Struthio camelus: one gene and its partner. The protein of the gene in region 1 interacts with the protein of each later gene in a pairwise test. Links are inferred from orthologs where the notes say so. Each region holds a gene or a part of one and is shown in the gene's direction. Other genes may lie near its edges. The genes, in order: RBM17 and U2SURP.

Region 1 (7,531 bases):
GAAGTAAGGATATTCCAAATGCCTTTCTAACTGTTTTCAGCTCTTTATGATGGTTATTCATTGGTGAGTTTTACAAAAGAAGAATTACAGCACAGTTCCTTTCTGATTTATTTTAGAGTTATCAGAGTATTTTAGAGATCATGAAGCAGATCTGAAGGCATACTGGGTTAGGGTGGTACCTTTCAGCAAAACCATGGCATCACACATTGTGTTTGGTTTAGGATCCAACATGTTGGTTTAGGATCCAACAAACTCGAGCCGATCTTCCCAAGCCAGGATGAATGAATGAGCTTTCCCTCTGGCAGCGTCATTTTCATATTTCATTTTGCCACGCGGGCCATACTGAAGGTCACTGTGAAGCTGGCAGTGATAATCAAGTGGGTATTTTCTGAAAAAGAAAAAAAGTTCATAAAGTTTTGAAGGTGCTGCCAGGACCATTAACAAAAAGCAGGTGTGCAGTGGGGTGGGTCTGCTCTCTGCTTAGGACCCGCACCGTTAGCTGGAAATCATCCCTCCATCCCACGTGATTTAAGCATCTTTATTCTAACCTGACTGACGTTCCTCTGACCAAGCTCAGCTTTCTTTCGCGTGTGCCCCGCTGCGATTCGCATCTCGCCCCCACCTCTGTGGGTGGGAACCACTCTGCTCTTCTGTTCCCCGGGGGCCTTGTGGATGGTTTTGGGGGGTTTACTGCAGCCATCCCTTGCCACCTCAAAGGTCTCCCCGTAGACTGAGATGCACTGCCCTCTAATGCCATTTTGGCATATTAGCAACCCGGCTTTAAGCATGCAAGCCTCATCCTCAGAAGGTCTATCTGTAAAATACAGTGCAAATAATCTAAGTCTGGTAAAAATGGCTTAAGCTTAAGGGAATTTGTAAGAAACATGGAATTTATGGACTGCTTTTTTTTTTTTCTCTAGTAACTCTGCCCTGCTTCCAGCAATCAGTGGGTTAGTGGGATTTTTGAGACACAGACTGTACTTTGACCACTGTGTTTACCAGCCCGAATGGCCCTGTTCCTTAGGACCGTCTCCTATCTTTTTTTGGATCCCTTTATCCTCCAGAGTGCCCCCTGGCACCGAGATCCACAGTTTACACCTCTGTTTGTTTTGTACCTTCTTGGAGATCACGTCTAGGGAGAAAAATGAGAACTCCCTTTTTACCGTTTCTGTACCACTTGTGATGTTGGATGCTCCCATAGCACCTTTCAGCTGTCTCTTTTCAGCTGATACATCTTAATTCCTTCAGTTTAGAATGACATCTCTGTCGTCCTTCATTGTACATTTTTGCATTGCATTGCATCTACTTGGAAGTGATGAGGTACCCAGGAGGCACCTTTGCATGTGCATTGTGGATTTATATCAAGTATGTTTTCTGTTTTTCTCTCTCTCTCTCTCTCTCTCTCTCTCTCTTCTTTTAATACTTCTTAGCAGCCTGTTTGCTTTCTTGCCTCCTTCAGAGCACTGAGTTGGCCTTTCTAGAAAACCATCCACAGTGAATCCAGCATCTCTTCCCTTAATGGTAACAGCTGATTGAGAGCCTGCTGCTGTGTGTGTATTGCTAGTGTTATTTTCTCTTGCGTGCACTGCTTTGCATTCATTAACATTGGGTCCCATCTGCCATCTCATCACCCAGCCAGCATTATGCCATCCTTCTGCAACTTCTTGCATTCAGCTTTTGGCTGATTACTCCGAATAATTTTGAATCCACGGCAAATATAACCACCTTTGCTGAGACCTTTTCCAGGCTGCTTATCATTATGCTGCGGGGGCCTAACCCAGGCCCCTGGCACTCTGCCACTCACTGCCCACAACGGGGAAAACACAGAATTTGTTCGTAGCCTTTTGGTCCTGTCTGCAATCTGCTGCAATCTGCTGTCCATAACCCTTCCATACCCTTTTCTTTCCTCTGCCAGGAGTTCAGCATCCTGGACCCAGCTCTGGTATGGCCCAACCGCATGACCTCGTTTCAGACTGCTGAGAAAATTGCCATATTGTGAGAAAGAGCTGTGTGAAAAGGCGTAGAGTGGAACCAGGCGAGATAAGAAGGGCAGGTGGGACTGCTGAGGTGGAGATCATTAGCGGGATTCAAGAGAAAAAACATGAACATGGAAAGGTTTAAAATCCTGAAGGAAAAAACAGGTAGCTGGAAGGGGGCAACTCAGCCCTGTCGAGGGTCTGTTGGAGGCAGCAGAGGGCTGATGCTGCCCCAGCTGGCTCTGACTCGCCAGCAAAGGCTCTTCAGGTATCTCACTGAAGCCATGAACACGCTAATGCTTGGCCCACTACCTCATTAAATCCTGTCCATCTATTGTGTGTGTCAATCAGCAAAGATGTGCATTGTACTCTTTCAGCTGTGTATGTCTGGCTTGCATAGCCCGTTCATGCACGGTGAAAGTTGCCCAAGATGACCCAGCGATGGTTCCCCTGTAGCAGGCACTTCAAATAATTTCACAACAGTGGGGATGGCACAAACCAGGTCACATCTGCTCCTCAGGCACCACCGGGAGCAGCCCTGAATCCTTGATACTCTTCCCAGCCTTCACCCCCAGAGACCTTTCCACAGGCTGTGGGGTATGGATCCCCTCTTCATCAGAAAGGACCTCATGGGCTTGCCATTCTCTGGGCTTTGGGACACTTACAACTAGAGGGAGAGCCCATCTGGAGCTCTTCTCCACGCCACCCTCCTGGCACATAGTCTGCCAAGGAAATACTCTGCCATGGAGTTAATTTAGCCTAAACAGCTTATAGAAAGTTGCAGGGTTTGACCTCAGGGTGCAGATGTCTCAGAAAAGTGGCCGGGAGCTGCAGCACAGTGTCCCCACTGGCATACATCAGGATGTCCTTCACCCTCTCTGCCTTTGCAGATAAAGCTGAAAAAGAGGCGTCTGTCCAAGCTATCATCCACCTCCCCAATATGAAGGACTGGGGATGACCCTGGCAAGGGTGTCCTCCATTCCCAGACTGTCCAGGGACTTCAGACTTTGCAGCGTGGTGCGACTTCTCCACCTGCTCGCAGCTGGTTCATACTTTCTCCGGAGGACGCGTGTGGCCCAGCAGCAATCCTCAGCAGAGAGACGCAGCCTTTCGTGCAAGATGTAGGCACGGCACGATGGCGCGCGACATCAAATGTGCTGTCTGCAGGGGCTCAGTTTGTGCAAGGGCCCTTCTTTTGGATGGTTTCGCCAACGCAGACTTGAGATCACGCCTTCGAACGGTCTCCATGCCGTCAGCCAGAATTCTGCCAAAATTAATGCAATGGATGTTGTTGGCCTCTTTGCTCTTTTAAGTGTCTTATAGCAGTCTATGGTGGTTATTGCCACAGATGATGACAGACACATTTTGAACCACGCCTAATGCACTTTCCAGGACTTAATCAAGAGCTGCTTCCCCACTCGCGAATTATCTGACTAATTGCTTTAATAGGTAGCTATTTACGGGTCTAATAATTTAGCCTTTGCCCTTCCTGTTGTGCATTTTCCCAGTCTTCCCAGGAGTAACTGAAATCTCTGATGATTATCATGTTTTCTGCCTTTGCAGACTCTGATCTCTTGAGTTTTTCCCAGTGACTATCATGCTGTGATACTGCTCTGTGCTGTTAGGTGCTGAATTTCAAACCACAGTGATTTTTGCAGTACATTTTAATGCAATTAACTATTTGATTCCTTTCTTTAACACCAGTCCTTGCTCAATGTGATTCTGTCACTATGAAATTGGTATTCAAGTATCCTGCTGATTTTCTTTCTTGCACAAAGTTAGAGAAATGTGTATCATATCAATCTCTTCCTTTAAAAATGCAGGCATTTCTAGAGCAAGGAACAAAAGCCTGCTTGGATGATCCTCCCTGAATAAAGCGAAGAAAAATTCTTCTTACATTTAAGAAGTTTTCACTATTATTATTAAAATAGATTCATCTGGAAACACACTGCCTACAAAGATCCCCTTAGCAGACACCAGCTTAAGTAGGATGGGAAGAGCCGAGAACAGGCCAGAACTTAAAATAAACTACCACTTTTTTAAGTAGTAGCTTTGCTCACTGGTACCTCTTTTTTTTTTTTTTTTTAATTTTAAGCATGGGGAATTAATTGCATAGTAGCAAAGTCAAAAGTAATGCTGGAGATAAGGACTTTTTGATCAACAAAGAGATAAGGCTGTAGTTTTGAGGTTGAAGTGACAACGCTATCTGCTTTGGGGTTGGAGGTTTTGCTGTGTTTTGCAGAGAGGGTTGAATGTTTATTTCCACAGCGTTTATCACGTGGTGCAAGTGGCCATAATTCTTAGAAATCTCAACGCGTCTGAATTCACTCTCTGCCGGCTTTAAGTCAGGGACACAGCTGCCCATTAACAACAAAAACGAGATCTTGCCACTGTCACAGAGAGCAATAATTACCGAATTACCTCGAAATGAGCTCTCTGGAGAGGCGGAGAAATCACCGTAGCTGAATAAACTCCCGGCGAGGACAGATAACGCCATTTCAGGGACTGTTTTGGAAAGCAGAAATGATTTCTGCAGCGAGACGATCAGCGGAATCAACCGATCCAGCCCACTTCAGGCCCAAACGATGCTCTCATACTACAGGTACTTTCAACGGCCAAATACCCTGCAGTAACACCACCACCCAGCCACCTCGGCGTTAGCGGGAGCCGCGGCAGAGCCAGGCGCTAACCAGCGTGCCTGAGCGATACATGATTCGGGGGCGTCTGAAATACGCTTGAAGCAAAACGAGCGTCAGCTTTCTCTCCTCCTAGCTGCTTCACAACTGTGCCGTCAAACTCGGAAGAGTCTCATATTATTCTTTTTTTTGTTGTTTTTTTGTTTTGTTTTGTTTTGTTTTTGGTTTTGGCGGGAATGAAGATGAGGTCGAGGCGCCGAAGGCCCAAGGAGACACGCCGGCAGGCGCGTTACCTCGTCCGCCGGGCTGACGTAGACTTCTCAAGGCGCCAAAAACACAGTATAGCGAAACGCGGCATGAAGGCAAAACGCAGGGCGATGGCCGGGACGCCGATACCGTCCTGCCCCCTTGCTGATGGAACTGCTAAATCCGCCCCAAACCCCAACGTAGCCCCACCAGAAGGTTATCTCGCTTCTCCCCCCCCCCCCCCGCCGTATTTTTCGGGCAACTTCCTTGAGCGATCGCTCGTTTTTTCCCCAATGACGACGTGGCGAACGCAGGCCCAGCTCGGGATTTTAAGGTCTCTTTTAAGGTCCACTGGGATTTTAAGGTCTTTTTTTTGTTTGTTTTTAACGTGGGCTACACGGCCCACCCGCCAGCGCCCAAACCGCCCCCGCCAACACGAAGTTTAACGTCGTTTGTAGGTCTCTCTCTTATTTCCGTGCGCTTTATTTAAATAAGGGTGATCGCACAGGCTGTTGCAGAGCCGCCCGTCGCCTGCCACCTCCGCACGGGGCGTCACAGGACCCGAAAAATGAGGGGCGAGGGGGGGGAGGAAGTGGGAGGGGAGGGCCCCCCCCGCCCCTTCCCAGTGCCGAACTGGCGCGGACTGGGCCGCGCCCGGCCGCGGAGGGCGGCGGGGAAAGGGGCGGTGCCGCGCCGCGCCCGCCAGAGGGCGGTACAACGGCGGCGCCCGCGCCGCGCGCCCATTGGCCGAGCCGCGCGCTTGCGCCGTCGCGGCGGGGAGGCAGGCGCGGGCGGCGTGTGCGCAGGCGCGGAAGGGGGTGGGGGCGCTGGCTGGTGGAGGGCGGCCCTTCCCGGCTGCCTCAGCGGCCGGCTAATGGCGGCGGCGGCGGCGCGGTGACGGGTGAGCGGCGGGCGGGCGGCGGCGGCGGCGGCTCCCGCAGACCGGCGACTAAGCCGAGCCGAGCGGGCGGCTCTGCGCCTCAACGCGGCGGTGGTGGGCGGGGAACGGGGATGGGGCCGGGCCCCTAACGCCTCCGCCCCGCCCCGCAGCGCCCGGCCTCGGCCCGCGGCGGGGGCCGCCGCCGCCGCCTCCCGGCCCCGCCGCCCGCGGTGTCCCCCGAGGCGCGGAGCCGCTGCCCCTGGGGGCCGCGGCGGTTGGAGGGGCTAAAATCGCCTTTCGCTGCCCAAACTTCGTCTGCCGTGGCGCACGCGGGTTCGTGTGGTGCCCCCTCCCCGTCGCCTTCCCCTGTGCTTTGCGATATCCCTCCCTGTCCCCCCCCCCACGCCCATTTAGGTAATAATCCCCACCGAAACCCACCTCTCCCCCCCCATATTCATGCAGTAAACTAGCGTCGGTTGTTTATGTTCCTCTGCAGGCTGAAATCACCTATTCTTTATTATTTTTACTTATTTTACCTTAGAAGTAATATATAGGTGTTTATATTTGCTGTATTATTTCCTACAGCCCCATGTCTGGAGATCGTAATGCAGTTGCTGCCTGCTCCATCTGAGATTTGCTTAAATCCTTAAAACTCTACATAAGCAGACAGCTCCTCTGTGTCAGCAGGTGCCTTCAAATACAGGCACCCGTCAAATCTGTGGGAGCGCGGGCTCCGTAGCGAGTCTTGTATGTCTGTACAGTTTCACTGCAGACAGTTTATCGGTAGTCCTTGACTCCGTTACGGATGTTTTCTCCTGCAGGAAATTAAGAAGTTAAAGCGGTGGTCACAGATACTGTAATCCAGGCCTAACTGAGGCTAAATAATGTGCTTGCAGGTTATTCTACAGGCTGCTGCAGGTGATAGACCTCTCATTCGTGCACGCTTTTTCTCCTTACTTTCGTGTCAGATGATGTATCACGTGGACAGTGATGTATGTTATCTGTTATTGATGTTGTTACCTAGCCAATTTTATATGTGTGTGTTTACGTATTCCGTTTATTTGAGAGGGCTTTAAGTGTGTGAAAACATTTGCTTAATCATGCTCTGGCAGGCTGTGCTCCAGCAAGTGTAATTACTCTAAGAAAGATATTTCTTTTCAGCCCAATGATGTTGCAAAAAATCCTGAAGTTTAAGCAGCTGATTGGAATGTTGATATATTTGTGCAGACTTTAAGGTCAGGGAGACAAAACTTCTTACATGCTCTGATTTGGAGCTCTTGAGGTTTATGTCATACTTCAGAATTTCTTTGTGACCCTCGAAATATTTTTGTGGACCACAGTGTAACTTTTTAAAAGCTTGAAGTGATGATGTTACAACCACAGTTTTACAAACCTAATGTTACAAAAATAATTTTAGGAAGTTTCCAAAACCCATTGACACTTGAACAGTATTCATGGAAGCGTTTTATTACCTTTTAAATAATTGTTTATATACAGCCTCAGAGCAGTCATGCATATCTGCCGTTAACCAGAAAAATGTCACTGCTGGGATTTCTCTCCGACTTTAATAAATAAATAAATTAATTAATTAAAAATATGATGCACAAACATAACCGAGCTAGTAGCAAATAAGCACTGGACATATGACTTATTATAGGTTTTTTTTTTTTTGTCCTCTAGTTCTAAATTGAGGAGAAAATGTCACTTTACGATGACTTGGGAGTTGAGACCAGCGATTCCAAAACAGAAGGCTGGTCCAAAAATTTCAAACTACTGCAGTCTCAACTGCAGGT
Region 2 (7,844 bases), on another chromosome or scaffold:
AACACGGTAGGACAACTGAAAGAGAAGGATGGGGCTTGGATTCTGAAGCTATTAGATCCTGCCTAATCCATCTCTTGCTTGCCCTGACCAACACCATTCCTTTCTGTGGACAAGTTTCTGTGGACAAGTTTGAGGGAGTTGTCCCCAAATCTTGCCGTCCAAGGTGAGTTTTCTTTCTTCCTCCTCCCCCAAACTGGCACTGCAAAGCGCTGCAGGTGGTTGCAGAGCTGGAGGGGGGTCCTCAGCGCAGAAGATGAGGCTCTGGATAGCAAATGCTTACTGCTGCATCTTCAAGTAAAACGCAGCTCCCTTCTGAAGGGAGCTCAGCAAACTTCCTGAACACTTCTTTAAAGAATCCTAGAGGTCTCCAGATCCTTAGCTCCGAATCCATTACCGGGGTTTTTTTGCTATGGTTATTTTGCAAACATGGTGGAGGGAGGCATGAAGAGCAAGGAGAAATGTGTATTTTTGCTACATGGCCCTTCTCTGTCTAGCCTACTGTTGTCTTAGTTGCAGTAGTACTGTCTGGTCAGCCAGTTACTTGACTGGAATGTAAAGCAATTTGTATCTATAGAGATATAATAATAATAATAATAATTTTGATATTTTTGGTGTGAGCTATCGATTCAGAAGGTAGAAATCATAATATAACAACGTAATATCACTGCCCAGTCTGAATTTGGGAGCTCATCTATGGAGATTATAGGTTTCCTTGCAAGAGGCTTGAGATTATTTTCTGCTGGGAGTTATTGGTATAAGCAGCAGCTGGGAGTTCGGGCCCACCCTGACGGAGCTGCTGCCCCCCAGCCTGGCATTGCTCGGCGTAGGCAGGGAATAACACACAACAGGGATGAACCCATCCCTTGAGTAATGATCTCACAGTCAGTGCGGTGCTACCAGCAGTAAATTCACCCGGCACGAGCACCAAGATGCACAGATTGGTGCAGCTGGGTAATAAATACCTGACTAAGAAGCCTGTCAGGACTGCAGAGGAAATGCAGCTTCAGGAAATTAAAAGCCGCATGTCACGGCGTCTACGCCAGGTTTCTGCACCAATGGTGGCATGCAATTTTAATTTTCTTCGGAAATGCGCTGGATGTGCCCTCTTGCGGAGGCCAGCGATAGTGCACGATGACCTCAAAAGGCTGCTTTTCCCCCCAGTCGACTCGCGCTGCTGTATACAAGCCACTCACATGGGGAACAAGAAATGGTTACATATAGTTTTTACTTTTGGCCACACCGCTGCTCTTACATATTGATCAGAAAGGGGCCTGGGATTTCTCTTGCGCTGCGCCACTATGGAGCTGGCAACAACGTCGCGCCGGAGCCCCAGGCTCGGCCACGGCCACGGCTGCGGGGGGACAGGCCGGGGACACAGTGTGCACGGGTGGCACTACATAACTGATATAGCAGAATCGTCTTTACTGATATCCGTATCAGAAAAAAGTCTGTCCTGCCTTTCAGAAAGCAGACATTTTAAGTTTGCAAAGCTGTGAGTTAGAAAACAATCTTCCTTTTATTTGTAAACTGAGCAAAATCAGTAGTGAGATGTTGGAAAAAGTATGTGAGGAACTCCATGATGTCTTTTGAGAGTCATTTCCTAGAGCAGAAACGTACTTCAAGGCTCTTTTCTGACAATAATCAATAAATGTAGCACCGCAATCAAATAAATGAGTATGTTAATAAAATTTCTCTGTAAAAATGTAATTGCCATCATAAACAAGTGGTCATTACTGAAAGACTTCATGTGGAGGTCAGGAAAGGAATCAATTACAATGACTGTAAAGGAAGCCCCTGAAGTAAAGGGAAAGATTGAAGGAGAAGCAGAAATTTCCAACTGAAGTAAAGCCATAACATCAACAGCTTCATTCTGAGTGGAAGATTGTAGGTGGGAGAGCTTAGTGTCACACTCTACAGTCTAAGAGTAGCTTCAAAGACACTTCCATTTTTGAGTGAGATTTCTCCTTTCCTTGAAATCCTGATCAACTGTTCTTTTTCATAATGCAGTAATGTTAATTCCACCCAGTCTGCTCACTAATTAGTAAAGCTACTCAAGCCCTTTTGACAGTACGTGACAGGACCTGTACTATAATCGGCTCTCTTTAGCTATCATTTTGCTATCTCAAATTTATACGTCACCCTATATGACCAAAGCTATAAGGTCACTACCTTTTCAGGAAAGTAGATGTACCCAGATCTGCTAACTTAAATGGCATTTCAGCACCTGTGGTTTTTTTATCTCTTATGGAGCAAGAGCCGTAAAAAGACTTGCATCTAAAGCTTCACCTTAAAGACAGCTGGACAGTAGCTGGGTAACATCAGATCATCTCCCTGAGAAGAGGGATGCATACCTTCTGCAGCAGGTGAAGTTTCCTGGAGATCTTTAGTCAGTCTGGAAAGATCTGCAGCTGTAATCTAATCTAGATGTAGTGAAAGGAGAGAGGCCTATTTCCACTCCTCACTAAGACTTGTATTAACCTTATACTAAGTATTAGGTGTACGCATAGTCCCACCAAAGTCAACAGAATTACTTTTGAGCCTAAAGTTAAGCATTTGTTTAGGTACCTTCATGAACTGAGACCTGTGTGACCTCCTTACCGCATCTGCTCTTTGTCTCCCTTTCACCTCCAGTGTGTTATTTTCACTATTCTTTTTTCTTCCGTTACCTTTTCTTTCGGGGTTTTCTTTGCCATCCCCCTTAAACTCCTCATCCTATGCAATTTCCTCTGCCCTCTTTACCCTGACGCTACTTCTTGTCCCTCTTGCTTTCTTTTTGCCCCTTCTGGAAGCTCCCACTCCTTCTTCCATCATGTCAATGGGGTTATTAGCTTAGACTCTGCTCCCTACTGGAGCTCACAGGGGAGTAGGTGTTCGGAGTCAGTGGATTTAAAGCTTTCATCCATTTCTGTGGATATGCTGTCTTTCCCTTAAGTACTCTCTTAACCCTACTATGATGAAAATCAATAAAAGCAAGGGAATGCAAGATTCACGTGAAATGCAATGTGACCTTGGGTCATAATTTCTACTTAAGCAATGTTCTAAAAATATTGTCGTGGTGTTGTGCTATCAAATCTAGGAATGGAGGATATGTTGTGCTATCCTCTTCACCATTCCTGGGCTTTTCCAGATTTGATGCAGTACTTTAATGTTGTTTATAAGAATATTCTTTCTATTTCACTTTGTTAGGTGTTTAGAGGCAAATCTTACCTGCCAGATGATATGACCACACAATGCTCAGTGTCTAGGAACATGACCCACAGATGAAGAGGGCTGTACAGAAAGGCCAAAATAGGCATTGCTCAGGCAAGACAGGTCAGTATTTTGTATCTGAATAAAGACCTTCTTCCATTAGAGTTTCTCATACGTGACCACGTGTTCTTCATATTGGTTCACAGTGTTGCTGGTGCCTCTTCAAAATACAGTGATTAGCAGCACGGGTCTGTATATGTATACAGTAGGGGGCAATAGATGTGCCCAGGAATAGCTGCGGAGGGACAGAACGGTTTCAGGGGGTGCGGACTCATGGTGCTGGCTGCCAAGGCTCCTTATGCCTGGCTGGCTTAATGCAGCCGGTTGCTAAGCAAATTTGGGTTGCCTAGCAACTTCATTCAATTTTGTCTCTGCTAATGTTAGAGCAAGAAATCCAGATGGGCCACATACCCCGTGAAAGCCAAAGGGCTGGTAGCAACAGGGGGATGTAGCCCTGCTGGTGCGGTCTGGTCTGCCTCGGCGCACCACTGTGGAAACACAATCGGCACGATTTTGGCTTGTAGCAATGGATATGGCCTCTGCCAGAGAGACCCTTTACCTTCCCACTGTGGGAAGACTTCAGCGAGTCACCGTGACAAGTGGTGGGTGTCTGACTGCTGGTGCTGCAATTCAGCCCAGTGGAGGCGGCTGGGCATCCCACCTGGTCAGGCTCCGCGGCTGCTAACACCCCCGGGAACGGATGGCGGGGGGAGGGATGGCGCTGGCCGCGGCGCTCCTGGGCCTATGTTAGTCCTTGACTAACAGACCTTCTTTGCAGAGGTCCTGTAGGAAGTTATTCGCAGAATACCTGGGCTTAGTTCCTGCTGGGCCTGGATGCGAGAAGCTGCTCGCACCTGTGTCAGCGTCTAATGCTACTGTACAAACCCAGACTGCAAAGAAAAGCGACGCTCGTCAGAGCCGGGTTTCTGCGCGCTAAGGCCGTCTCACGGCTGGCTGTACTTCAAGGGGAATACGCTTTGCTGCAGGCCAGGCAGCCTGACTTGACGGTAGGCCTTTGCCCTCCCTGGATTTAATTCTCAACTCATTCCTTAGCAATATGAGAAAATAACTTTTCCAGCGTTTAACTCATTTAGACCAAGACTGAGCCAAAACCGTAGGCCAGTTACGAAATAACGCTTTAAAACGAGACGTGGGGAGGCGCGTAGGAGCGGCCGCCATGACTAAGCAGCTAGCGAGGAGGACGAGGCAGGCCTCGGGCACGAGCCCGAAGCCGTAAGGAGACCCGCGGGCTGCCGTGAGCCGCCTCGCCCTGCCCTGCCCCGCCGCGGCGCGGCGCGGCTCCGCTCCGGGGGCCGCGGGCGAGGGCGGCCCGCGTGGGCGGGCAGGGCGCGCGTGGGCAGCCCAAGGTCCCCGCCACCCACGGGCGCCGCCGCCGGCGCCAACGGCCGGCGCCCCCCATCGCTAGCTCGGCTATCGACTTGGCGCCCTGCGTCTCGGGGGCCTTTCCCCTCCTCTTCGCCATCCGTGGACTCGGCGCTCGACTCCTCGCCGCCCGGGCTGAGCGAGGGGAGAAGCAAGATGGCGGACAAGACGCCCGGCGGCTCGCAGAAAGCCAGTGGGAAGGTGAGGCCGTTCCGCGGGGCCCGCGCGCCGCCCGCCGCCGCCGCCGCCGCCGGGGGGGCGCCCGCCGCCGCCGCCCGGCCGCCCACCCACCCGCCTGCCAGCCGCGGGGCGCGCGGGGCCGCGAGGCGCGGGCGCTGCGGCCTGCTCTGCCCCTGCCCGCTGCCCGGGGGGGCGGCGGGGCCGGGGCCGCGTCCCTCGCGGGGCGCCGCCCCTGCTGGGCCCGGCCTGGGCCCGGTGCCTGCCGGCCTCTCCGGCACCCCCGGGTGGAGGGGCGTGTGGGCGGGCGGCGAGGAGCGCGGGGTGCCGGAGGGAGCGGGTGCGCTGGCAGGCGGGGTCCGTGCTCTTTTAACGGCGCCGAAATGCGTTTTGGGTGGCTAGTTGATGCCTGAGCCTTGCCGACGCCCGCGTTCCTGTTTGACTTCGCCCGTGCTGGGGGTCCTGGTGCCTGCTTGGGGCCAGTTTCTGAATTGCGAGTGAGAAAGCAATGGTTAACGTGAGATTGAGGCTCCTGTTTTGTTTGCGATGTAATTATAAATTTCACCAAATCACGGTTGTGTTGCACTGTGTCTTCACTGTAGCTACTCAGTTTCCCATAATTACTGTTTGTTAGATTTAAAGACCAGAAATCCAAATCGTACAGGAATTCTGGCAGGCTTGTCCAAAGCTATGTACAGAAGCCAGTGCTGTGAGTAACCCTCAACAGCACAGAACTTCCTGCTCGCTAACACCTTCCCTGCCACGAGAAAGTAGAGGATAAGAAGGACGATATATTTTGGGGGACGCTTTGGCAGTTGACAGTTTGAGGATTAGTGACGTTCTCTTTTGAACAGTCTTGTTGCAGATCTTAGGGCAGTGCTGTGTAACTCTTTTTCCTGGTAACTGTTCCAAGTCTTTCTTTCTTGTGTAAGTCAGTGAAGGGAGAGAAGCCACATTCTGATTTAGGGATTTCCATTCCCATACAGATTAATAATTTTTGCCCATTTTTATATTCAGCTAAAACAGTTTTTTTTTTTTTTTCATTGTTAGGAAGCCAACTGAATCATAGTTATGAGACCCTTTTTTACCCAGTAGTTGGTGTCCTTAGGAGAGTTATTTTTGTTTCTGTTTTATGATTACTCCAAATACTGTGAGAAAACTTTCTTTGGATCGTACCTTTGACTTGAAAGTGCAACCAAGATCTACACAGATCTCTACTGGTTAATAGCACAGTAGATCTTAATTTATGGACAGAGGCTTTTGGGGAATAAGACATTTCGGGATTTTAAAGTATAATTAGATACAGAATAATAACTTGTTGGTTACTGTAACCAATAACACGATACACAAGAACAACTCAGATATGATCCCTTTCTTTTTACGGATAGTTACACCTTAGATTTGTCATTTTGGCAGTGTAATATTTCTATAGAGATGACTTTTTTTTGATAGCTGTTATTTTAAAAGAATTGTTTTCTGTCTTAGTTCTCTGTTCTGCAAAGATGTATGCAGACGCTTAACTCTCCATATGAAGTCATCCCATTGAACTTAGTAGGACTACTAGAAAACGTAAAGTTAAACACGGGCATTGATCTCTCAAGGGCTGGAGTCCTTGAGGAGGTCCTGTATCTTGTCATTTTCATACAGTTCCCCACCCCAATTTCCCATTACTTTAGAAGTATATGCTGTATTTCAGTATTCTCTTCCTTCCGTTTAGGTTCCTGATCTTCTTTGTCTTGTTAATGTTCTTTTGTGCCAAGGAAAATAGTGATAGTACATGGACCTTGGAGAACTTCTTTTTTTAAGGTGAAATTAAATAGCACGTGCTTAGGTCTTGGGATATGTGTTCTTTAGTCTTAACTTTGTGACTGTTGTGGGGGGAGCAGGAGGGTGTCTTTTTTTGTGTGTGTGTATCAGTTCATGAATGCATGTGATATGTAAATCCATATAGGTATTCTTCAGATATCTGTAGAAAGAGGTATGACATATCAGAGCTGAAATCTGTAATAGTTGTAGTTTTTCTTTGTAGTTAACTTATTCGTTCAACCACAAAGATCAATATTATTAGTTGACTGTATATGAGTATGTGTGGTTTAACAGTCAAAGCAAATAACCAGTTTACTTGATTTCTTAAAATAATTATTTATGAAACATTTTCTTTTTTTAAAATTAATTTACTTACATATCAAAATCAAAGTTCTAGGCTCCATTTTGTTTTGTGCATTATATTTGCATGTTGTAAGAGTAATTGTACTTGCAAACAAGGTCTTGCGAATAGGTCTTGTAGGCTCCATAGGATATATTTTAATGGCAATTTCAAGATGTTCCTTTCTTGGCTTCTAGCCTGTATCCTCGGAAGAACACAATGACGTTTTATTTTCTGCATTCTACTAAAAGCTATGGTGTAGCAGTTATAGTAAGATATGACTTCTCTCCTTCAGTACATGTGGTGTTTGTTCTTCTGTCTTAGTGTCCAGCCACTGTCTAGACAATCACTTTGTTTTATAAGGTAAAATCCAGTTTATTATTCAGTCAAGCATTATCTGTTTGATTCACTATTTGAAAACTGTCGGGGAGATGCTACCTGTTCAGGAGCACCAGTTGCCTGTGTGACTCTGTTGGTAGCTACTTTTTATGGTGCTGAGAGCTTCTAAATAAATTTGAAAGATTCTTCTGTGTGAAATGTGTTGCAAGAGTATCATCTATCCCCTTGTCACTTTAAGATTAGGATAGTAAAATCTGCACGTGAAATAGGAATGACAGACAAATTTAGGAGGGGAAAATAGAGGTTGGCCAAGATTGCCCAGCAGGTCAGTGTCAGGATATGATTTTAAAATGGCAGATATTGATTCTGTCCAATTATTATCTGGATGTAGTGAAATGTTATTTGCTTGGATGGCTCTACCACTTCTTTTTTTTTCGTCTTTTGAGAATAGTGGCTATATTGCATGTTTTCTGATCTTGCATATAATCCTGTTCAAATTGGGTACTAAATAGCAAGAGAGAAAAGTAGCCGGTTTTGAATAAGGGTACCT

Evidence for each region.
Region 2: the proteins of RBM17 (region 1) and U2SURP interact in binary tests that used the Homo sapiens proteins (3 or more experiments, as listed by UniProt). The link is inferred for Struthio camelus from reciprocal best matches to the Homo sapiens genes RBM17 and U2SURP.

The regions. Positions count from the first base shown.
Region 1 is NC_090942.1:4,586,091-4,593,621, forward strand, and holds the start of RBM17 (splicing factor 45), read left to right. Parts: upstream 1-4,446; 5' UTR 4,447-4,578; intron 4,579-5,620; exon of another isoform or gene 5,621-5,759; intron 5,760-5,934; exon of another isoform or gene 5,935-6,071; intron 6,072-6,559; exon of another isoform or gene 6,560-6,730; intron 6,731-7,418; 5' UTR 7,419-7,436; coding exon 7,437-7,531. UniProt on the Homo sapiens protein: Splice factor that binds to the single-stranded 3'AG at the exon/intron border and promotes its utilization in the second catalytic step. Involved in the regulation of alternative splicing and the utilization of cryptic splice sites.
Region 2 is NC_090950.1:15,664,257-15,672,100, forward strand, and holds the start of U2SURP (U2 snRNP-associated SURP motif-containing protein), read left to right. Parts: upstream 1-4,583; 5' UTR 4,584-4,788; coding exon 4,789-4,833; intron 4,834-7,844.